Lepisosteus oculatus: one gene and its partners. The protein of the gene in region 1 purifies or fractionates together with the protein of each later gene. This does not show direct contact. Links are inferred from orthologs where the notes say so. Each region holds a gene or a part of one and is shown on either strand. Other genes may lie near its edges.

Region 1 (8,568 bases):
ACAGGTCACTGTCGATGTTGCCCCTGCCAAGACGCAAAGTGGATGCGTTGTACAGTCTTATGGCAGACGGCAAGAATGACCTCCTGTAGCGCTCCCTGTCGCACCGTGGATGAATCAGTCTATTGCTGAACGTGCTCTTCATTCCTGCAAGCCTGTCATAGAGGGGATGGGAGAAGTTGTCCATGATGGCCTCTAGTTATATGTACATTAACAATTTGACATAAATCAGCTGTAATCTTTCACGTATCACCCTGTTTGAGTCTAGCGAGAGAACCAGTTATCCAGCCTCTGTAAAACCATTCTGGATTCTCTTTGTCCCTTTTGCACAACTGCCATTTGACAGGATAGTTCGTCAATTGCTGGTGATGGGAACGCCACCTTAATCAAAGCTGGCTGTACAGCTCATTTGAAGAGACGGACGCTGGAAAGGAGTACATTGTCTTCACATTGTCCTACGTTGTATCTTGAAAAAATTGTTTCATGGGGTTAAGAGTAGATATTAAGACCTTTGGAAAATTTCCTCTTATCTTGCAGACAACTGGAGTGCCAAGGCCAAGAGGCGCAATACCACTGGAACAGGACGCATGAGGCATCTGAAGGTTGTGTACCGCAGGTTCAGGTGAGGATTGTTTGCTTTTAAAATGAGAACAAGGGTGACATCAAGCACAGAGTGGTTCCGAAGAAGCATGTTCTGCTAAATTTTTAAGTGGGTCATGTTAATTGTTCAGTAGCTATCAGGAATTTTAACACGAAAATTTAACATGGTAGTTAAATTGTAAATGTAATTCCGTTTGAAGTAGCCTTATAATCTGCACTTTGCTAGATGGTTTAAAACGACAATCATCTGCTGGAGCTGATATTTTAAATACTAAATCTAGCTTTTAAGTCCAGTTTAAAAGAAATACTTCTCACAACCAGTAGTGTTTTCATATTGCTAGCTATGGATAAACTGGAAAAATAGCAGACAGTTACTGTTAATCGAGGCATCTAGGGCTTTGTTGATGGTAAGGCATCTAATTTGCTTATCACTAAATTTCTTAAGTATGAGTTGCAAACTAAACATTTAAGAAGACCTGTGGAGTTGCATAGGTTTCATTTTGTGAGAAATTAATTTGTTTATCTTGCATAACAAGTGATTGTGCTGTAGATAGAAAGTAAGAGCTTGCTGTAGGTTTGTGACATCTGAGAGGTCAAGCTTCTGCTGTCAAGAAAAGAGCAGGATAAGAATGAAACAAATGTAAGTCAGTATACAGAATTGCAGAGCAGCCATTCATTTCCATCACTGATGATTGTTGATCACTGGCCATATTTTAATGCATAGATTTTACTTTTTGGTGGCATCATGTTTTATGCCTTAGTCAATTTAATGTAGGAAATGTAACAATTAGAAGTTGCAAGATTTTATGCATTCACTTAGACTTAAGGGTCAGTTTTAAAGCATGATGGATATGTATGTAGAATCTTGACCCTTTTCCTGTTCTTTTGCCAATCAGATGCAAACTTTTTATGACATGTAGCTAAAAAGCTATAAGTGGTTGAGTAACATTTTACCATTTTTATCGCACTAAACATAGTACTAAACATACTAGTACTCTTTTACGAACATGTTACTGATGACATTTCATGTGCGTATCTGTCCCGTGACTTTTTGTTGCAAAAAAATAACTTAAGACCGCTGCAGTTCTAAACAGCTTATCAATGATGTCCAAAAATAAATGTCTGAACAAATGACTTTACTGTGATTTCAGATTTTTACTGAGGTAAGCTGTAATAGTCTGCATGTGTAATCACATTGGCTTGTTGAGACTTGGCCACAGCTCTTGTCTTTAAGAGAGGTAGGCTACTGGGTTTAAGGCCGGGGACATGCACATTGCTCCGCCTGGTGTCACTTTGTAATGTGACGCGGTTATCTGAGACACTGGAGCAGCATCTTGCTTTACATCTAAGTGGCACTTATGATTTCTTGCAAAGAAATATCTCAAGCACTGCTGGATAATTATCTAAGCTTATAACCCTATATATACATTAAGCCATTATTTCACATCTAGTAATACTTAATTCCCTGTTGTAACTGTTGAAGTTAATACTTAAAAAAAATATACTTTCATGTTAATTCAGCTCTTCCATTATGTTTTGATATTTGCTTCATGATAGTAAAACATCTTCTGTTGGTTAGTTTCTGATTCAGTGTATAGTCATGTTTCTCTTCTAGGAGAATACGTACAGTTGAAGGTTGAAAAAGTAGGTTTTCCTCTAGAAAGGAACTTGATATCTGGATTTTGGTTAAAGTGTTGCTGTACATCTCAAGGAGCAGAGTGCAGCAATACCCTTAGAAGTTACAAAATATGAGGAATAAAGTAAATTAGGTTTTCATCATAAGAGAAAGTCATAGAACACTAAAGGTCTTGAGGATTTTTGCAGTGATGCTAATGTGTGCCAACTTTGTAGTAACATTATGCTGTGCTGTTTTCTTTCAGAAACGGATTCCGCGAGGGAACAACCCCAAAACCTAAAAGAGCTGCAGTAGCAGCTTCCAGCTCCAGTTAGACAGACTGTTTAAAATAAATATGCTGTTTCAAAGTGATTGTGTTGTTTTTTTCTTCTCTGGTTACAAAGAGGAAACTCAATGGGGATTCATGATTATCAGTAAATATTATGAGTAAATTGGGCTATAGATCTTGAAAATCTTGAATTTGTAAATAGCCCTCTTTATGAATATGTCCTTAAGGAGTAGGCAACAATGAATGATTCTCTGATAACGGTTACTATATTGTGCCATGGTGTAGGCAAAAATGACATTGAGATGAGTGTCCAGAAACAAGCTTTACAAGTGTGAGGAATTATTACGACATACAAAGGCATCGATTCGACAATAATTCAGCTTCCCAATCAACAAATTTCAAGTCTATTACTTCTGATTGGATTGATAAAAATGTGCTTTTCTATTAGATGCATTGAAGATTCCTTAAGGAAATAGAGCAGCAGACAAAAATGCAAGAACCCAAGTGCATTTTGTGACGCATTTGGTTTTGGGCCAGATTGAGCCTGTAACTGAGGGAGTATTCAAACTGTTAAGGCAATTGGCTTTTGCAAGATCATCAGTGAAGCATATCCTGGACCACAAAATGAAACGCATCCAAGGTTCAGGCTAGGAGGTACATCATAATTGGTTGTTAAGACTTAATATGAGCTGTTTGGCTGTGATGGTGAATCTGATGACAACATTCTTAAAACTAGGAGTTTCTGGGAACTACTAGCAGTTAAAGCTGGAGGAGGGAAATGTCTTCATGTTTTGTGTAGTTTCTGTTCTTAAAGGAACAAAGACATTTCCTGGACTGGTAATGAGGGTTTTAAAATTTTATTTTAAAGGTCTGACCTCACTAATACTTATAAAATAGTTTCCATCTTTAACCCATTTTTTCTTATGAAAAGCAAAGAAAAATGGGTGAAGGGGAGACAAAAATTTGCTTTCATAGCTTCTGCATGAGCAAAGAATGATCTACCCATACATAAAACACATTTCTGTAAATAATAAATAAGTGTGATTTAATGCTGTATCAGTCTTCACCTACCTGACTATTTTGGCTGCAGGTAGACCTATGAATGTCACACTAGAAGATTGCTAGGGGTTTGGAAATTTTCATTAAGAAGGGGCAGTCCTGAACAGCTCTGCACCAGTTGTTTCTGAAAGTACAAAAAACCCACGGTCATGGAAATCCTGGATACGTTATGGAAAATGACATTTTATTTTCCACGCCTGGAAAGATTTTGAAAAATGATAAGTTTTGGAAAAGTCAAGGATTTTTTTTTAATTGACCCAATATGATCATGGCTGTATCATATAATTTTGTTCACAAGTTATGGAAAAATGACATTTTATTTTCCACGCCTGGAAAGATTTTGAAAAATGATAAGTTTTGGAAAAGTCAAGGATTTATTTTTAATTGACCCAATATGATCATGGCTGTATCATATAATTTTGTTCACAAGTTAGCACACTTTTAAAAAGAGGATGTGGCGTTGCTGTTGCTAACATTATGCATTATAGTGTTGCATCAGACCCTCTCGCAGGATTTTTATAGTTAAAAGTTAAACAATTAAAACCGAAAATATAAAGCCATCTTATTTACAGAAATCGTATATACAGAAATGTTTTTCCACACGGTGGAAATTTTGTCTTTCACTGGAAGAAAGGTGAATTTCAATATTACCTAACTGATCCAAATACAAATATGAGAAAATGTGTTTTCAGTGATCTCTGGTTAGCAGATGAAAAATACAAGCTCCACAAAGATGAAGACCCAGGACGTGCGAGATGTAAATTATGCAGAAAAAAAGTCAATGAAAAGTTTTGGAACTTTGTTGGTAAAAATGAGTGGGAACCCTGATAAAACCACTGTCACACTCTTATAAGGTAGGAGATGCACCCTTAAAGGTGACATCACAGAAAATGCAGAGGGTGGGTTAGCATCAGATCCTGCATGGAGTGCAGCTCGTTGTCATCCGTCACAAAGGCTTAAAGTCTGTAGCTATCACGCCTTGTTAACAGGCCGGGACATATTTCTGAGTTGCCTTTTATTCAAAAACTTGAACACTGTGGCAGTTCAGATACAACATCACCTTTCTCTCTGTACCTTTTCAGTCAGCTCACATGTAGATTTGGTGATTCTGGCCTTCTCTCTCAGGAGATCAGGCTCTTTACAGTACTTACAGTATACCATATACTGTGGTATACAACATACAGTGGTCCAGCGCCATGTCTGTGGAGCTCATTAATTAAACCATCAGACTGCGACAGTCAGCGTTTTCAAATTTCTATTAAAGCTAATTTTTTCACAAAAGCTTCTGATGTGTAATTCAGTCTTATTCTTCCTTTCACTAAATTAATTTGCTGTGCTTTTTCTTTTTCACTTTCTTCTTCTGTTCTAGTTTGTTGTACAGCGCTTTCAGTCCTAATAAGCAGTCAAAATACTGAATTAAAAAATAAGTGTATATATATGTCCCACCTCAATTAAGAAAACGCGCAAAAGATTAAAGATTCACTTCTCATTTATATAAATTCGTACAATTATACTTATATATAAGAAAACAAATATTGTATATATTTGAGTATTGTAATATGAAATGTCTGCTCTGTTCTCAGTGCAGGTGCTCTCAAAACTGTTAAACACCAACGCAAAAGTGTTGCCCAACTTCAAGCCGCTTGAAATTCGAGGGCTATGTAAAAAAATAACACCATTGCCTCTCTTCTTACGTCACTTCCGACGTCGTGCACTTCCGTTTTCCTGTTTATGCAGCGTCATGTCCGTCTGCCTGCAGCAGCGCAGGTAGGGCTTCTGCGGGAAGATGGCGACGGATAAACAGAAGCATGAAGGGAGAGTGAAGATTGGACACTACATTCTTGGGGATACGCTTGGTGTAGGAACCTTTGGAAAAGTTAAAAGTAAGTGTGATGATGTGATGGTCAGGATATCTGGATGGGAAAGGCGGTTAAAACAGGAAGGCAGTAGTCAGCTGTCCTATGTGCACTGAGAAGAGTTGCTGAACAACATTGCATGTTGCAATTTGCAGTATCTGTTGCTGTGCATGTTCACTTCAAACTCCCAGAAGAAAATAGCACCGTTTTCATGTGCATGTTGGCGGAGTTGTGTGTTGATTGATTACTGCTCTTTTTGCCTGTCCTCTAATGAAATGTTAGCTTGCTAAGTGGCTGATGTCTCAGCCTTGTGAAGTCAGTAATGGCTAATTTATGTCATTTTTAGTCGAACGTTCCCAATCGTTAAAACAGTGTCAGTGACAAAACTAAGCTGTGATTTGTAAGCCACGCCACTCCTCAAGTTAAAATTGTTTTTAGTTTTGGCTAGATGCGTAACTTAAATTTAATAAACTTTTGAACCCTTTTAATTTCTGTAGGTGTTTTAGAGGTTGTTAATTTCATGTTATCTTAAAAATAATCAAAATGTGGTGTGAGCAGTTGCGGTAGCATCTTTGTGTCACTCTGTAACGGAAAATATTGATTTCTAATGGAAAATACAGGTGCAGAAGCCGAAGAAGAAGTTTGACATCTAACGCGGTTTTTAATGATTTTTTTTTACAGACGGTGTAGACTGTTATAACCTCTTTAATTTTTGCAGTCGAAATCAAAGTTAAGTATGATTAAACTAGCACTGCATAGGGTATTCACATTAGACTTGATTATAATTCGTGGTTATTTGCAAGTTGATGAAAATTTCAAAGAATACCGTTATAAAGTCTACTTTGGATTCCAGCATTCACTTTTGATGTTAAGTTTTATGCCAAATAATAAGGAGTTGGAATATTGATGGTTCTTGAAATGTTTAAGCGACACGACCATCTCTGGTTCACTAGGTTATTAAAAGTTTAATTGAAAAATATATTAAAGATAATCTTTACTTTTATTAATATAGACAAACTATTAAAGGATAACATTACAGGAGCGTCTAGTTGATATTTACAATCTTGAATTTCCATGAAAGCTTTCAAAAACTACATGAGAGGTCTAAATGAATAAATGTTCTTTGAATGAAGATTTCATATATGACAATGCTAAGGCTAATGAAATAAAAATCAGTCTGGAACTTTCAGTCTTATGCAATGTAAGTTTTCTCAGTTCATTTACTATTAAAACTTAATATAAATAGAATATGAATCACTCTCTTCTGAAAGGTTTATAACCAAGTCTTTGCTTTCTGCAATGGTGGAGAAGTTGCATTTTCTGTTGTTTGTAAACCTCATTTGTGCCAACATTGCATTCTATAAAACCAACTCTCAATTTACATATAACAACTTTTTGAATATTTCAAATGAATATTGTCTGGACTACCAAAAGCGTTTCTAGGTTATGCTGTTACAGTTGGGGTCTATAGACCTGGTTTTTATTTAATGTAAATCTTGATTATGAATTGAGCTGGACATGGGTACATTATTGAGCAAAAAGTCAGTTTTTATGTTCAGTTATTAAATTCTCTATACATGTCCTTGACAGCAAAAGGTTTCTATTTTCAAGTAACTGAGATGGCAAAATGTACTCAGCACTTAAAATTCTTATCTTAGTGAAGGCCTGTGTGTAATGTATGCAGCAAGCATTGAATTGCTCTGCAGTGCTTTGACTTACTACCTGTCCAGTGTAGTTGTCCAGTGAACTGGAACGCTTTGTTGATTCTCTCTTATTTATGTATGACTTTGGGGGCTATATCTAATGTTTCCAAGGCAACCCTGAGCCATTGGCAGTTCCATGGCTACCCTGAGACATTGTTAATCACAACTTTATCTGTTAGTTTCAGTGTTGTGTCTCACGGCTCGTAAAAGGTATATTTTCTTCTAGTTTATGTGTTGAAAACTGTAGTTGCATGTGGAGTTGTTCAAATTGTAGAAACCGAGTCTTTGTCCTGTATTTGTTTCAGTGAAGTCTATTTTTATTTTACCCCAGAGCACAACCCTGCAGAATATTACTTACTTTCAAAATTAGGCTTAAATGTGTGACAGTTAATTTTCAGTGTTTTTTTTACAAATTATTATGACTTAATCATTAAAACTGGTAGATTTGAAAGAATGAAATGAGGCTAGGCTAATGGGTTGTTTTCAGGAAAGATGGCCTTCGGTTTTTCTGCTTGTGTTCTACTGGCAGTTTTTGCATCCTTATGTCATATAGTTTTAGATATTTAAGACCAAGTCTTACTTATATTTATGTTTTTCCTGTACGCTGTTTTGAAGAGGCAACATTACTGTGCGATGTTAGCAGTTATTCTAACAGCAGAAATGGAAGGCCACCCAACATAATCAACAGAGAAGCATTAACTTGTGCTGCTGCTGATGATTTGTGAAAACTGAGGTGCTCTTTAATCCCAAGTAGCCTACTGGCTTTGGTTTAAAAGCAATCGGCCTGAATACTAGAACATTCTCATTACGTAAAACTTTCTCAAGCACTTATATTAAACACGTTAATTAGCATATAACAAGCAACTTAATTATAATTTAGGGTGGGAAACCTAAGTAGAGCTTAGTCATAATGAATATGCACTGTTTCAAAATGTTTTATACTGTATATAGCCTATGTTTTTGGAGAATTACATATTGCATTCCCCTACTCTGCTCACACTATCACTTGAATCCTTATGAATTGTGCGCATTAACCTAAATGATTAATCCAAGGAAGATTTATCATGGTCTTGGGGATTGCATCATCACCTAGTCATTATTAAAAAGTAATCACAATAGGGTTTTTGTATTCCTTTAAAGAATATCTGTTTTGCTTACCAAGGACAGCTGAAAGACTGAAGATAATGCTTCTGACTGTTTTTTATGCTGTAAGTTGTGGTGTACAATGTACTACTACAGTTAGCTTGTGCTACAGCATTAAGATTTACAAAGGGACTTTTAACAAAAGTTTTTGGACAGGATAATTGGTTTCTGGGAAAATTGATATGAGTGTGTGCATCTGTGTCTGGTCTGCGATGGACTGGTGTCCCGTCCAGGGTGGATTTAGGCTCCTTCCTGTTGATTGTGGATGGATCAAAGTGTTAGGCAGTTTAGTGGGGCATTATCCAA
Region 2 (7,807 bases), on another chromosome or scaffold:
GGTCTGCAGTAGCTCTGATACATTGCAAACATTTAATTCAAAACACATTCAAAAACATTTATTGTTTTAAGTATTTATTAAGGCTTCAAGGCAGAAAGGAAGATTGTAAATCCTCTATGGAACAGTAAAATACCACATTCAAAACATAAAACAAACAGGAAAAAACAGACCAAAACATAAATTTCAGAACCAAAAGCATTAAATTACCTTTGTCTGGCAGGTTCATAAAATTAGAACTTGTGTTGGATCCCCCCTGAATAAAACAGTCAACTCCTATGATGTGTCATAAAGAATGAGCATTGAACCTTCTGACTTGGCAAGAGAGATGTAACAACAAAATCAGAGGTTTTATTCATTTTCATTCTGGAATAACCAATAACTGACCACCAGCTATAGCAGGACAATCAGTTTGCTGGTGTCAAACAATTTCCACACCTCTAATGTAGTCTACCACACCTTCTATAGGGAGAAACAAGGTCTCCCCAGTGTTCTGGCTGCACACCTCAAATGTTGGCAGATCCTCCAAGGCACTCTTCCCAGTGACAATCACATAGGGGTACCCCAACCTACTCGCATCTTTCAGTCTTCTACCAATGGTCAGGTGCGTCCGGTCATCCAAGACCACCTCCCCTCGCAAACTAGGGACTGCCTCCACCAGAACCTTGAAGAGGTTCTGTGCCAGTTCTCCTGCCTCATCTGCTTTACTGCCCTTCTTTGGTGGAAGGATGCATATCTGGTAGGGTGCCAGCAAGGCAGGCCAACGGATGCTGTCCTCAGAGGAAAGCACTTCTATAGATGCAGCCAGGATGCGGGTTATCCCCAGCCCAAAGCATCCCATTTCTGCAATTACAGGTTTATTTTGCATGTTGTTATAGGAGGCACTAAAGATGTAGGAGTACTTAGTTCCTAGATAGAAGGTATGCCCCACCTCAATGCCCTTTGTCTCTGATAGTGTGCCCCCTTTGCACTCTGGGCAGTATCTCAGTCCTTGATCTATCGTCTCCATGTTGGCAGAAAAACCACAATCGCCACAGATCAGCAGTCTGTCTTCGCCAATCTCTGCAGGAATCTGGAACTCATGCGAAAGTTTGCCCCCAATATGACCTGTGTCAGCCTGCACCTTGACACAGCGCAGACCCAAGCGGGCAAACAGGCGGGTGTAAGCTTCGCACACAGCCTGGTAGGTGCGGTGGGCGGCTTCCTCACATGTATCAAAGGAATACATGTCTTTCATGTAGAACTCCCGCCCACGCAGCAGCCCAAACCGCGGCTTTGGCTCATCACGGAACTTTCGCGTCACCTGCAGGGATAGGCATGAGGTCACAACACATGATGGCCATAACAGAACATCATCAACATCACAGCTGAGAATCTACAGACTAGAACGGGTTCTATTCTGTCACAATTTCATATAAAGTTAACAAGGCTCATGCACCACTTGCATAACAGCAAGAGGGCATCATAAGGCAAATACAAATAATGAAACTATCATACAAACTGCAAATAATGACTTACATATACAGCCACGACTATATATTCATATGGATTCCCTAGCCCCTCAATCAACAGCACTCCGTGACTGTACCTGGTAGAGCAGCAGGGGGAGCTGCCTGTAGGAGAGGGTGCCATGTGCGGCAAGCAGCTCGGTAATGGCCTCCTCATGTGTGGGCCCCAGACAATACTCCGCACCATGCCTGTCCTGCAACCGGAACAACTCTTTGCCCATGAGATCCCAGCGCTCACTGCGCCTCCACAGGTCAGCTGCACAAAGACTGGGCATGTCCAGCTTCTGCCCACCTATGCCCTGCATCTCTCTATCGATCAGCCGCACCAGCTTCTCCATGGCACGCACAGTCACCGGGAGGAGATAGTAACAGCCGGGGTTGGATGGGTGGATAAAGCCTGACTGCAGCATGAGACGCTGGCTCTTACAGGCCATGCTCTCCCCCTGTCGGCCCCCAAGCCCCAGCCCCAGTTCTCTGTCCCTCTCCTCACGCAGGTTGGCTGGCTGAAAGAGCTTGGATACCAGCAGAGGTCTGGCACTGCTAGTCATATTTCTCATGTTGGTTCTTTGCATGCTCAGGAACAGGCACACACAGCCACGTTGGGGCCACGTGGACTGAGGCAGAGTCCGAGTCAGGCAGTACCGTAGCTTGCCAGGACATCGCCGAAACAGAACTTCCATTATACACACAAAATTATCCACACGCTGGGAAAGAAAGAAAATTGTTTGGTTTAATAGCATTTCATCTTCATCATTAGGGCTATGTTCAGCTGACACTTAACTGTACGAGTGGAAAAAAACTACTGGAACCTGTACTTTAAGAAAAGTAACAGTTATTAAAGTTTCATATTTGAAGGGCATTTGCTCAATTTACCAGTGATTCTGTATTTTAAAGCTTTGATATTATAGATGCACATAAACCTAAATTGAACAATAATATAAGCTTAGTAAATGAGTCAATGTATGAGACAGTATTACACGAGCCAAAGCTCAACATATAGATCAGTGTGCTGAATATAGATTCTATCTAAAAAGCTTAATAGTATCTGAAAGACTACACTAAATGTAAAACACTCCTGCAGTGATATTCAATCGATCCAAATCATTTTCAACATTACAAAGAAATAGTTTTTACTGATCATTCATGTTACCGTTCAGGTTTTTTCATCTCGTCTTTTTTGGTCAGTGTGCTAGGGTAAACTAAACACTTTGAAATAACAGCAGTTTTTTTTTTAATTTATTGCTATTTGTTTTTTAAAAAGTTATCGTTTTTCACAAAATTACGGAGCCCTAATTCACAGATCATTCACAACAGGACTCTAAGGTCACCACGACACATCGCGAGTGTTAAATATTTGAAATAATTAAACACACACATAAAGTGCAGTATATATCACCGCGTAAACTAAATCGACATGACTTCCTTACTATAAAAGCCGAGACATTGTGTATATACTGTACACGTGAAGAGTTCAATAAAACTGGTAACTAACCCATACGATAACAATAAAAAACACTTTAAGAATTAAACTTACCAAACCAAGTGGGGGATACAACAAAAAACAGATTGCACACAGTTATACTATTTAAAATACCAATAAGCTGCATACAATATTTCCTCAGTATCTATGGGACACTTTCGTTAAAATCACTGGCAAACCCACCCCAGCCACAAGTTGGTACAACCACCAACAATACAACGAGCACCGAATAGGGACAAAATAGTTGGCGTAATGTTAGAACGCATTTTTCTAGCCATCCTTTTGAGAGTAGAGCTTCACGCTACTGTAACTCTATGCTAGCAACATTCAAACTTCCGGTCTAAGAAACGTATTTCCGGAACATATGATATTATGCAGCTGTGAAAATGCAATTTTTTCCCTAAAGAGCAAAATAATAAAATAAATATTTATTATATATTTATTATATTATTAACACCATTACAACTTTAAATTTTATCCACCCCTATGACTACTCAAAATGTATTATTCAGTCAGAATATAAACAGCAGGTACCAAAAGGGATTTATTCATGTAGAGCTTCCTCTAAAAGTTGTTTCCCAGAATGAGGGATTAGACTTCGGTACAATTTTACTTGTTATAGCCCTGCATTTTGGGACAGTATTGGGGGATTTTTAAATTCATAAAGAACTATGAAGCAAATGTTAGATTATGAAATTTCTGTATTTGTCCAAAACGTTAAAAGAGGAGAAAGGTTTTCACAATAACACCAAACCTGTTCAGATAAAAAAAAAATCTATATCTGTAGTTTTACTCCAAGCATCCCTGTGAGTATTTAACTCTGAAAACACAGATTGCTATTTTCAGAGGTGCTGGTAGATTTTCAATGGTAAAGCCTCTGACAGAGACATTCATTTCAGTACCGCAATGTTCTGTAAAGCGCATTTAATGAAACAAGCCAAGTGAACTGTGTAGGAAACAATTAAGTGGTAAAACTGGTCATAAGCATGGACTGTATATATTCAGTCTTTTCCTCAATTCTACAATCCTAAAGCAATTATCTGAATTTCTTTATGACACTTGTGTTATCTTGGGAAACAAATGTAAGTGTTTTAGTAAATAAATGCCTATCAAACGTAAAAGGCAGACTAAAAAGTATAAACATTTCTAGTGAAACAGTTTAAAATATACAGTGCATGAGAATTCTAAAGATTTGAGAACTGTAAACTTGACATTACATTGATTTTATTAACAAAAAGCTGCAGCTTTTTCTTCATAGCAGTGATCTTGTCAGACACGTCAAAAATTGTTACAGAGAGCCCCTGCCGTCCCATATTCAGCTCATTCAAATGTGAGAATATACAGCTGGTAAAATTATATTACAATTTTATATATGTTTATATATAATATTATGTAATTATATAATATTATATAATCATAATTGGGTCATCAAATAGACTTGCCAAGGGAAATTGCTGGTCATGCAAAAACAACTGTACCTCAGAGTGCAGTTCAAAGAGCCTCTTGAGCACTTTGCCACTTGATTACCATCTCACTTCAGTATGTAGCACTTCACTGCCCATTTCATTACAAAGCACACTGAACACTGATACAATTCACAACTTTAACAGTAGAGTCTAACACAGATTTTAAATCCTCAGTCATTTTCCTGACAGCCAAAGCTTCGCAGTGGATGATGCAGTGCGTCCACTTCATATCTGGAGCAACCTCTGTAATTATTGCAACTACTCCTGCTGTGTCAACCTGGAATTGCTCTAGCACAAACATTGCATTACTCTAGTACAAACTCTGACGCATTTTTCCAGTCGACGCCATTCTCTTAGATAAATTCATTCAGATGCTGATAGATGTGTTCTCCTGAAGCTCTTGGCGTCTATTCTTTTCAGCCATGACATATTACTTGATTTTTGCGAGGTATTCATTTTCGATTAAATGTTCTGTTGGCGAATGTGGTGCTGTTGGAGAAATTTGTCCCCTTTTCCTCTTAAAAGACGGGAGAGTCTGTCCCAAAAGTTAAAAGAAGGTTTTATTTCATACGCATGGAGCGAAACACAAGAGATGCTCGGTGTACTTTTCTCAAATTGACAAAGAACAGTCCTTAAATATTTTTCTGTTATCTATCAACCTTTCCTGTGCTTACAAGATTAGCACTATTCCAAAGTCACGCACATTCTCCTACCTTTCTATTTGCTAAAGGTAATTTATTTTAATACAATTGGTCACTTAGGTTCGTAGCATGCATTCCTATACAATGGTATAGAATTACATAGTATCTCTTGTTCCACTCAAGTATTAGCACACGCTGCATCTTTGTAGCTAACTACTTGACACATAACTGTCACGATCCTCCTCTTAAGGGCGCTCCAGCCCTTCCTTGTTCTGTCCTATTCCCCACAACTGATCCTTATTCCGGCCCCTCTTTAGTTCCACCTTTAAAGCCAGACGCAGGCGTTTGCCCGGCGCTTCTCATTGAATCCCGTTTCGTGAGAGCCCGGGGTCCTGCCGCATCTGGCTCCGTTATGGTTTTAGTTTCCTGTTCCTGATTCCTTGTCCCGCCGGTCCCGACCCGGTTCTGTTTTTTAACTACTTTGGATGGATCCCCTGGTGTTGGACTCTGCTTCCCATTTTGGATTTCCCTGTTGGATTTATGCTTGGATTGTTTGCCCGGACTCACTTCCCCTGGACACCTGCTCACCTCGGACACGCCCCCCTGTCTCCTGACCCACTCCTGCATGATATTTTTCCCTATTGTTTCTTTACCTTCTGGATCGTGTCATCCGCATAGGGCCTGGATAGAACTGTTCCTGACAATAACTACATAACTGCGTATTTGATACATAAACTAATTACTTTATTAAAATACAAAATATTAAAACCCGTCCCAATTTTTCAGTGCACACAACAAATTTCAAGGGACATCTGGCGTACCACCTGGGGATGCTCTGCGTACAACCAGTGGTACGCGTTCCAGTTTGAGAACCATGGAGTTAAGTTATCTAACTTCCCAACATCACTTAACTCTTGATTTGAAACTGTATTAATGCAGAAAAAAACACAGTTTGTAGTTGTACAGGTTTCCACGAGGTTGTATACAGTACATGTCCTGATATACTTGTCCTGTTTTTGCCTAGAGTGCAGCATGACACTGTCTTTTGAACAACGGTAGGCACTGCATGGACTGTTTACCATAGGATATGTGATGGACAACAGCAGTACAATTTGAACTCCATTGTCTGCCATTCAGGAAAATACATCTCTAAAGAGGGTCAATTTTGGTCCATATTGAAAAATAAGAATCATTCCAAAATTTTTGCAAGCAATTTGGAAATTTTAGATCTAATGAGGAAGAAACAAGTGGAGTATATTACTTTTTTGAAAGGTCCATATCATTTCAGGACAACAGCAAGGATAATAAATTACCATTCATCTTTCTCGTTATCATTTGCAAATGAAGATTTGTAAATGGCCAGATGCCCTATTCATAAACACTCTTCAACAACTAGAAGAAGAAAAATATGTTCCAGCCTTGTTTCTTTCAGTTATAGCCCATGGTTTCTCTGCCATGGTTGAAATTGATACATTTAAAAATAATCTTTCTGCATGTTTTCTTGCAGATGACCTTTTATATGCCAGCAAGTGTCCGTCTTTTTCTTGCATACAGTAAGTGTCCATCTTTTCGAAGCAGCAAGATGGAAGTAGTGTGAACTATATGTCTCCCAGTTTGTCAAAAATATTATTTTGGCAAATGTGGATTGCTCTGCATCTCCAGAAAATGAGAGACACTATATTATTTGAATTACAGTCTCAGGATGTTAAATTGATCACCTAGAAAACAAATAGATACAGATAAAACATTCTTATCAACATATTTTCCAAATCACAAATAAATCAAGAATTATACAGTATCAACAGAGACTGCAACTTAGGTGATCACTGCCATTACTTGTTTGTTTTCCCTTTTATCATATTGTTGTTATCCCTTTTAGGTTTTTTAGAATTAATCTGGATCATGAACAGAAGACCCAAGATAAAGAAAAAACCTGCTCTCCAGACCTGTTCTATATTGTGTCCTGAAATTGAAGAGGATAAAGCATTGTACACCACAATAAATGTTATCTGTAACCTTTACTTTTAATTTCAGATTAGTTTATTGAATTCCGCATATTTCAAATATGTTTCATGTCTGCTGTACCAAAGTTACACCATTGCGACATAAATGTGGCAGACCTGAGACAAGATTCTATTCTTGGGGGCCTTGTATTTTACCCCCTTTGTTTTTGCAGCAATGGCACTTATATGGGTGACTGGGTGTGTTTGAAGCCCAGCAATGGTAAGTTTGTAAAATGATTCAGAGACCATAGTATTAATTATTTTAGTAGTTGTCAAAATTTAACCTTACTATGAAATTTGGTGTAGTTTGTTGTTTTCCTTTTATATAAATTCAAGAAATTTGTTTTTACAATAAAATATCAAACATAATACAATTTGATTATCTAGGTTTGAGGTATTTTTATTCTGAAATGCTCAGTCTGTTCTCTGACAGAAACCTGTTTGCATTGAACACAGAAGATCATGAAGACAATACAAGTTAGAGTTGGTCTTCAAGCCTGGTAGAGGAAAGAAGTGAGGTACAGTTATTAATAAAACAAACAGGTACACAGAGCTACAGAGTCCAAAAAAACTTGGCATATTGGAAGAACTGTTTTTCTATAATTCAATGTGAAAAATGTAATGCAGCTCCTGGAAGATAGTGAATCATCCATCTAATGGTGGATGATGGATGAATAATTCTTTCAAACATCAAAAACACCATAACCAAAAG
Region 3 (7,759 bases), on another chromosome or scaffold:
AAAAGGTTAATCTTTCACAAAAATTATAACAAATTCCTTTCAGTCCTCTGTTGCCACATATAGCAGGAATACCACCTTTCCAGAAAATATTAAGATTCACATCTCCTGTAATTAATGAACAAACTGCTTTTCTGATTTGAGAGCACACATTATAACAATAAGCAGGGAAATATCTTTTATACAGTATATCAAGATCAGCCTTTGAGAATATCCAGTATAATAACCATACATACACAAAGGCTAGGTCTGAAGCTAAGATTATTCCTTCTTTCTTACATTGATTTTTTTTTCATTTTTCAGGATTATGATTAATTGGTCATATTGGATTTTTAACCAAGTCACAATGCAAGGACACTTACTGCCATATTCTGTATTTGAAACCCTACCTTCCTCAATTCAAATAATTATGAGCAGGATTATTAACCCTTTGCTTTTGTAAAATGTCACCAATTAAAAATGAGGTTTAAAGTAGTTTGCATCATGGATTCTCTTTTAAAAATCGCCTTCATCATGACACTCACCTCTAGAGGTAGGAATATATTTGAAGTTGTAGCAGCCACGAAGCCCACTGGATGGCACTGATTCATCATAACTCATTTCATCTGGAGGCACTGAGGGTCCCTGATGTGACCTGTGTTTAAAGTAAGTAACGATGAGCACTGAAGAGAAGAAAACAGGCCCGGCTCTTACCTCACCTGCTACTGCAGGAACAACAGAGCAATGGTAACCAAGTTATAATGTTTTCGTACACTTTATATACAGGAACTGGGCCAAAGCACTGTCGGACCAACAGATTTAGGATCTTTATAGAAAGTCCAGACACCTGGGAGGGGAGAGTTGTGGGTCAGGAAACAGACGAAAGGTTTACACCACCAGCTCCAGCCTCTGAGTGTAGACTCAGACCACTTCAGCCATCTTCAGAGTTTTCCCACTGTGGTTTTGTTTTGACACCTCAGGAAAAAAAGAGTGAATTTTCCGTTACCTTTCTTCCCTGTAGGAAGGAGGCTGGTCCCTTTGAAGTTGCGGCCCTCCGGAGCTGCGGGGATTCCTGTCCTCCCGTCTGTCAGGATAATCCCGGTCTCTCTTTTCCAGGTAGCTAGGATCCCTGTCATCCCAGTACTGCGGGTGTCTCTGGTCTCTGGCGTGCCGGTACCTCTCCCTCTGTCTGTCCATATCACGGCGAGTGCCACTTTCGCTCCTCGTCTTGCTCTGCGGCTCCTCATCTCTTCCAGGATTCCTCCCACCTCCCGGCATCTTATGATCTGTGAGTTCCGTGAATGTACTGTATGCCCTGTGGATCGATGAAGGGGCAGAGAACAGCTCAGAGAGAAAAACAAAAGTAACGCACCACTTATACAGTAGCTGCAACAGTCCCACAGTGGTAGCAGGAAAACGGCAAAATCATTTTCGTGGCAGGTGTGCCAACACTTAAGTGAGCAGCCAAGACACAGGTGAAGGATATCAATGTACCACAGTCAGTCATGACGGATGCTAAATCATAATTACGCCAGAATGCTTTAAGTAATATCCAAAAATACATATTATCCATGTTCTATACTATGTGTTTTTTTTAAAAAAACATGCAGAGAGTGATTTTTATACTCGCATATAAATATTACATAGTGCTGCAGTGCTGTGCAAATACTTTATTAAATGCTGATGCTTTTTAAAACTAACATGCTCATGCTTTGCCAAATTTAACAGGTCTTAGAGCTTAAAGTTAGTTGTGAGCTGCAGGGTAATATAGCCCACTGAAGCTCAGCAGGTACTGGCCAGTACCTGGATTGGACACCTCCGGGGAAAGCTAAGGCTGCTGCTGGAAGAGGGGTTAGTGGGGCCAGTAGGGTGCGCTCACACTGCAGTCTGTGTGGGTCCTAATGCCCCAGTATAGCGATGCTTACACTATACTGTAAAAAAGATGCTGTCCTTCAGATGAAACTTAAAACCAAGCCCCTGCCTCTCTGTGGTTGTTAAACATCCCAGGGAGTTTCTCGAGGAAAGTAGGGGTGTCACCCCCAATAACCTGGCTTAATTTCCCAGCGGCCTTTACCAATCACGGTCTCCTAATAATCCCCATGTTTGAACTGACTTTATCACACTGTTCTCCTCCTCACTGAGAAGTGGAAGTCCCAATTACCTGAAAAGAGCTTTGAGTGGCGTGTCCAGAAAGCGCTATGTAAATATAAGGATACTATTATTAAAGCAGCGTGTAGTTCTACTAGGTGAATACAAAGACTTTAAGCATAGTTCTTCGTAACTAAACGTAATCTACACATTGGACCATAATCATATGTAGTTCGAGTAGATAGCTGCGTCAGCATGCGTAGGATACAAAGAATAAGTAAAGATTTAGTCCATGCTGAAAAGAGATAAAAAGAAACAACGTTTCAAGATGTTGAGCCTCCTACAGGTGTGAAGGGTGACGTTTTCAGCGTGGAATAAACCTTTACTTGTTTCATTGCATAATCATAATATTCTTGTTAAAAGTGTCAAAGTAGGCAAAGAGTTACGCCTGCATCTAATAGGGTTAGTAACGAGTTTCACTGGTTTTGGCCACCATCACCCTGTATGTATATACAATTACTTTGCGATTTTTTATTTTGCGTATTTTATACTGATTTATGAGCACAGCTTACCCTCAGAAGTCAGCAAAAGAAGTTCCAGTGCTCCATCCCGGGCTGTGTTGTACAAATAGCTCCGGTTACCGAAACCCGGTTTGATGCGCCTCTCAGCCGAAACTGGTTGACCGGTCAGTAGTTTCCCAGTAATTCGCTAACCCTCGAAACAGGACTTGAGTTGAGAAATAACTCGTGTATCTTTCAGAGGTCAAATAAAGAAGTTGGAGGTCTTCAGTTCGACCTAAATGGTTTTCGGACTCAAGTTTTCAAGTCAGCATCACAAATACCACAACTTCCGAGTACGCAACATAACAAAGAAAGCGAGGTTTTGTGGTACTTTGTTTTATTTTTCGTCGTGTTGTTGACGAAACATGGACATATCTGCCTCGAGTGACCAGGTTAAATCCATCGACAGTGCACAACTATTGTATTTTGATGTTTCACATCCGCCATTAATTTTCAAGGTACACTTTGTGCGTAGCTCCGACACCACGATCCCACACACACATACACATACACACCTCATACCTGAGCTCACAGCTTGACTTCCCAAACGGAGAACCCCGCCTTTAAAAACTCGTTTTTAACTGGTCGCAGCGCGACTCACTGTTTTAGGAAGTAATTAGTATTTACTTTAAATAGCAAATATTTGATAAGGCAATATAAGAAGTATGTTAATCTACGTTCAATGTTGCAGAAACAGTTTTAATCGCTCTTGCAAATGGCATTATTAAACCTCTAGTTTTCACGATGGATTTCGATTTGATCATATTCGTGAGGTATAACTATAATTTTATGGCTACAGCTAATGAACAATGAATAAAAAACAATGAAAATGTAAACCGATAGGGTGTTCACAATTAAAAAAAAACTCTATAGAAACGTCTCTGTCTCGTCATCAAAACAGAAAATTCGGTTTTGACCACTAAATCGGTGTGGATCCAAACTGCATACATTTCCACAGAAAGAATCTCACAAAACATCAGAAAAAAATGGTCTTTAACCCCGTGATCTGCACAACTCATGAGGAAGCCAAACTGTGTGAACACATCCATTCCAGTTGCTGCTGGGAAAATTGAACTCACTGGTATTTTCAACTGCAGGAGCAGGACGCCTATCATGTAAAGGGGGGAAATCAGTTACTATTGTAGAATTTAAATCAAGTGATGTTACAATTGTACAATTCATTGTACGGTTATTGGTCACATTGCAAAACATTATTGCTGCTCTTGAGTCAGTCCAGAGAATGAAAAAGTCAAGTCTTGAGTAGAGCAGTACCAGATTCAGACATTCAAATTCTTAAAAGATGTTGATAAAGTCAGCCTATTGGACTTTTTCAGAATCGACAGTGAAAAAAAGACAGGATCACAAGTGGGAACTGCTAGGAAGGGTATTTGAAACCGAGGAATGGAGGCACGAATTTACACAAAGGGTTTCCCGTGGCACAATAACAGTTGTGTTGTTAATGCAGATACCCTAGCTTGCTTCAAGAAACGTTTGGATTAAATCTTGGCAGGAATTATCTACTAAAACATCAGCTAGCTTGGACCAGTCCCGCTAGCTTGTGGTCATTTTAGATTTCCTCTGTCATTTTAGGAAGAAATGATTGTTCCTGAATACAAAACATGCAGAGTCATGCATTAAAGACAAGTGTGCCATGTCTCCCCTTTCAATATATTTCCCAAACCGCGAGCGTGTACCCATGTGCTGTAGGTGTAAGGGGCCCTTTCGCCTCCGCTGGCGCTGGGCATGCGCAATGCGGTGCGCGTCCCCGCGTTTCTCCGCCTCCCACCCAGGGCGCACGCGCTCACCGCGGACTCAGTCAGGCTCTCAAGCGCGCGCAAGCCAGAAGCAAGGCGAGACAAAGATGGCGGCCATGGTGGGGTTAGCAGCGTGATGGGCAGGAGGAGGAGAATACAACCTTAACGTTATATACTCTAGATTAAAAAAAAAGAAACTACATTGAAAATGTCGCAGTAGAAATTGATTTGTTTTTAAGTCAAAGACCACATTTCAGCTCATCCCTGGAGAAGAGGAAGTTTATTTTCTTTTTTAATTGTAAAAAAAGAAAAGAAACTCGCCGGGAGCATGGCTTCACACAGCAGCCAGGTAAAAACTGTTCTTCACTCTGGTGTTCCGAGTCGTAGGTACTGCAGCGGGCCTCGGAGACGCCACGGCTCATGCTGGCATGCGTGTGAGTGCTTTGGCTGTTGCAAAGTGCAGCTTTGTCATTGAGAAGTGGGCGAAAAAAAAATTGCAAGGCGAGTTTCCCCGAGCACGGGATGCCTGCTTCCCCCATTGAAACCCCAGCATGGACGAGGCCCAGAGGCAGCCTCACTCATTCATAGACGAGAGCTCCCGAAGAGCGGGTTTAAGTCCTGCGCTCAGAAATCCGACCCGTGCCGCCGTGTCGACCCAGCCCCGGTTGCATCTCAACACGTGGATGTTTGCCCCACTCGGGTGGTTTTGCATTGCATTTCGAGATGGTTTAGCTGGCGTGCTCGGCCCAACCTGCACCGCAACAGGCCTCGGCGAGCTGAGAGCCGCTTTCTTCCGCGGTGTCAAACAGCGCGCTCGGGTAAAAGTCACCCTCGCCGTCAGTGAGTTGTGGTGCACGACCCGTTTTTGTCCTGACTGGGGGTTTCTCCCCCCCTCTGGAGTCGGTTTTTAATTCATTTAAAGTGTGAAACGGTGCATCCGCTGGTGGCATGCATTGGGCCTGTTGATCGGGGAGGGGGGGCGGTCTTGTTTTTCCGTGTTAGGAGACTCATCCAGTGTTGTATGAAGGAGAGCGCAACGGGACTTGCAATGGACATTTTTATAACTCGTTTGTCGCTCTTCAGTGCAAATGCACTTTACTTTGAAAAGGACGCCTGCGTAACGTGTTTGGGCCTGTTCATCATTTAGATTCTCATCGCAGCCTTGCCTCCACTGTTACCCTATGAAGCCGAAATAAATTTGAGGAGTAGCCGTAGATTTTGGGCCCCCTATCTTTTTTTCCCCTAAGGCGCAGAGACTATTCTAGCTGTGCTTTTATATTGTAAGAAAACGACACGAAAATCGGTGATCGGAGAGAAATTTAGAAGCATGCAGGAATAATGTGGAGTGCTGGCTAACTCTGGTGGGAATACCGGATGATAACTATACTCATGGTTTTCCTAGCTTTGGGAGAAGTAGCTGAAAGACCTTTAAGAAGTTTCGGTACCTGCGGTTTCTTAGGTTTGGTGGCGGAGCAGTCGTGGGTTGAAGGGTGAATTTGTGATAGCAGGCGGTCTTGAGAAGTAGAATTGTACCACAAAATGCTGATAGGTCGTAGACAACAAAGTGTAGGCATTTGAGTGTCCAGCGTAAGTTTGAGGAAAGCGTGTTTTTTTGGAATTGCTAGATGCAGGAAGCGGTGTGTACTTAAGCTCTCGGATACTTGCGAGTTTGGCGTGTATAATATAGCATGATTTTGATAGTGCAAGCTATTAATGTATCGTTCTTTCTCTTTCTTTTGCTTAGCTACATCTTCGCGTTTATAGTTTCAACTTGGGCAGCGCGTTACGAGGAGTTGTAACGGGAACATTGAAATTCAGCTGAATCATAGGCGCCCATCCCCCTACCAGGCAGCATTTTTATACTGAGACCACTGTGAGCTGCTCGACGTAGGAACACATTTGCATTGACTTTTTTTCAGTATCACGAGAAACGTACAGGTGGTTTAGTGTTTTTTTTTCTCTCCCGGCTTGAAAGCTGGGCGGTTTGTGCCGCTGAGGTGGTGTGTAGTGCTTTAAAACTTCAGAGTGCGGCTTCCATTCAGGACACTTGACACGTGATGCCGCTCAAGTTGTTGAAACTTACAAAAAGGGATGCATTGCTTTATTGTAAATCGTTTACGGAGGACGTAAAATCTTATTTTTGTTTACTGCAGTTTTAACTTGAGTTTAAATCGGTTGTCCTTAATTAGTATAAACCTAGCATGTTTCGCGTACTTAGTAATTGTGCCCAGACCGGTGGGGTGTTCAGTTTTCAGAGCACAGGGGGAATCCGTATTTAATATCAGTGAAGAGATCATGATGAGGTGTATTTGAAGAAAATGTGTAATACGTTTAAGATGTATAGATTCGGAACTACCAATGCACTTCAGAAAATCTGCATTGTTAAAAGCTTTGTGCATTTTCTGACTTTTCAAGGACACAGTATACCCCCGTGCGTGGATACTGTGGATGTTTCTTTTTAACTAGATGCTTTTGGTCATTTCCTGTACTTGCATCGGTTTGGCTATCAGGACATAAAGGAAAACGCTCTGTACGCTAACTTGATAGATATTATCTGCCTTTCGCTTTGCCAAGTTTAAAACAGCGAACGAGGTTGCCCTACCAGTTTTTGGAAGTTTTACCTCAGCAAAGAAATTTAAATTGTATAAATGCTCGTTTTGTATTCCAGCTTGCCTATGACATTTCTATTTGACTTACCTTTTATTTGCTGTATTTCTTTTTGATGTTAAAGAATGCTTATGGTCTTTAATTGCATGATGGTGTATACAGCATTATGCTACCAGACACCATGACAGTCCATGTGGATTGGGAAGACTTGCCTGGAGTTTAGAGCTTATCGTTGTAGTTCACACTGTCTGTTGTGGATTTGTTGTAGTGGATCGGTATGTTTTTCATTCAACTTTGCTGCTGTTGGCAGAGAGAGTCAAAGACAAAATATAGTAGTGTGCAAAATAGCTCAGTATTAAACTGATCATGGAACAAGTAATAGGTTTATTCCATGCTGAAAAAAAGAAGAAAGAGAACACAACGTTTCGGCCGTGGAGCCTTCTTCAGGTGTGAAGGCTCACACCTGAAGAAGGCTCCACGGCCGAAACGTTGTGTTCTCTTTCTTCTTTTTTTCAGCATGGAATAAACCTATTACTTGTTCCTTTGCAGCCTACGCATGCTGACGCAGCTACCCACCTGAACTTAAACTGATCATGCTATGCAAGGATGAGCCTGTGTTGCAAAAAATGTTTTGGGTTCTTTTTGGTGTTTAGATGACCTTTGTGACTGTGTGAAGCACAGACTAGTTGTGGGTTTGTTGTATATAATGGTCTTTTAGGGGTACCATTCTGAGTGCTGTACAATGACTGCACTTTGTGAATAGAAAAAAAATAT

Evidence for each region. The genes of interacting proteins can lie anywhere in the genome.
Region 2: the proteins of prkaa1 (region 1) and pars2 purify together in Homo sapiens (affinity purification with mass spectrometry; 3 studies listed by BioGRID and IntAct, with this or other methods). This does not show direct contact. The link is inferred for Lepisosteus oculatus from reciprocal best matches to the Homo sapiens genes PRKAA1 and PARS2.
Region 3: the proteins of prkaa1 (region 1) and usp10 purify together in Homo sapiens (affinity purification with western blotting; 3 studies listed by BioGRID). This does not show direct contact. The link is inferred for Lepisosteus oculatus from reciprocal best matches to the Homo sapiens genes PRKAA1 and USP10.

The regions. Positions count from the first base shown.
Region 1 is NC_090698.1:23,872,026-23,880,593, reverse strand, and holds the start of prkaa1 (5'-AMP-activated protein kinase catalytic subunit alpha-1), read left to right. Parts: upstream 1-5,293; 5' UTR 5,294-5,346; coding exon 5,347-5,443; intron 5,444-8,568. Other genes in the region: rpl37 (large ribosomal subunit protein eL37), read left to right, coding at 535-619, 2,478-2,547. UniProt on the Homo sapiens protein: Catalytic subunit of AMP-activated protein kinase (AMPK), an energy sensor protein kinase that plays a key role in regulating cellular energy metabolism.
Region 2 is NC_090704.1:16,909,211-16,917,017, forward strand, and holds pars2 (probable proline--tRNA ligase, mitochondrial), read right to left. Parts: upstream 3,302-7,807; 5' UTR 3,169-3,301; exon of another isoform or gene 3,040-3,168; intron 2,210-3,039; 5' UTR 2,186-2,209; coding exon 1,586-2,185; intron 1,301-1,585; coding exon 419-1,300; 3' UTR 58-418; downstream 1-57. UniProt on the Homo sapiens protein: Mitochondrial aminoacyl-tRNA synthetase that catalyzes the specific attachment of the proline amino acid (aa) to the homologous transfer RNA (tRNA), further participating in protein synthesis.
Region 3 is NC_090715.1:10,017,856-10,025,614, forward strand, and holds the start of usp10 (ubiquitin carboxyl-terminal hydrolase 10), read left to right. Parts: upstream 1-4,458; 5' UTR 4,459-4,706; coding exon 4,707-4,727; intron 4,728-7,759. Other genes in the region: marveld3 (MARVEL domain-containing protein 3), read right to left, coding at 522-631, 983-1,254. UniProt on the Homo sapiens protein: Hydrolase that can remove conjugated ubiquitin from target proteins such as p53/TP53, RPS2/us5, RPS3/us3, RPS10/eS10, BECN1, SNX3 and CFTR.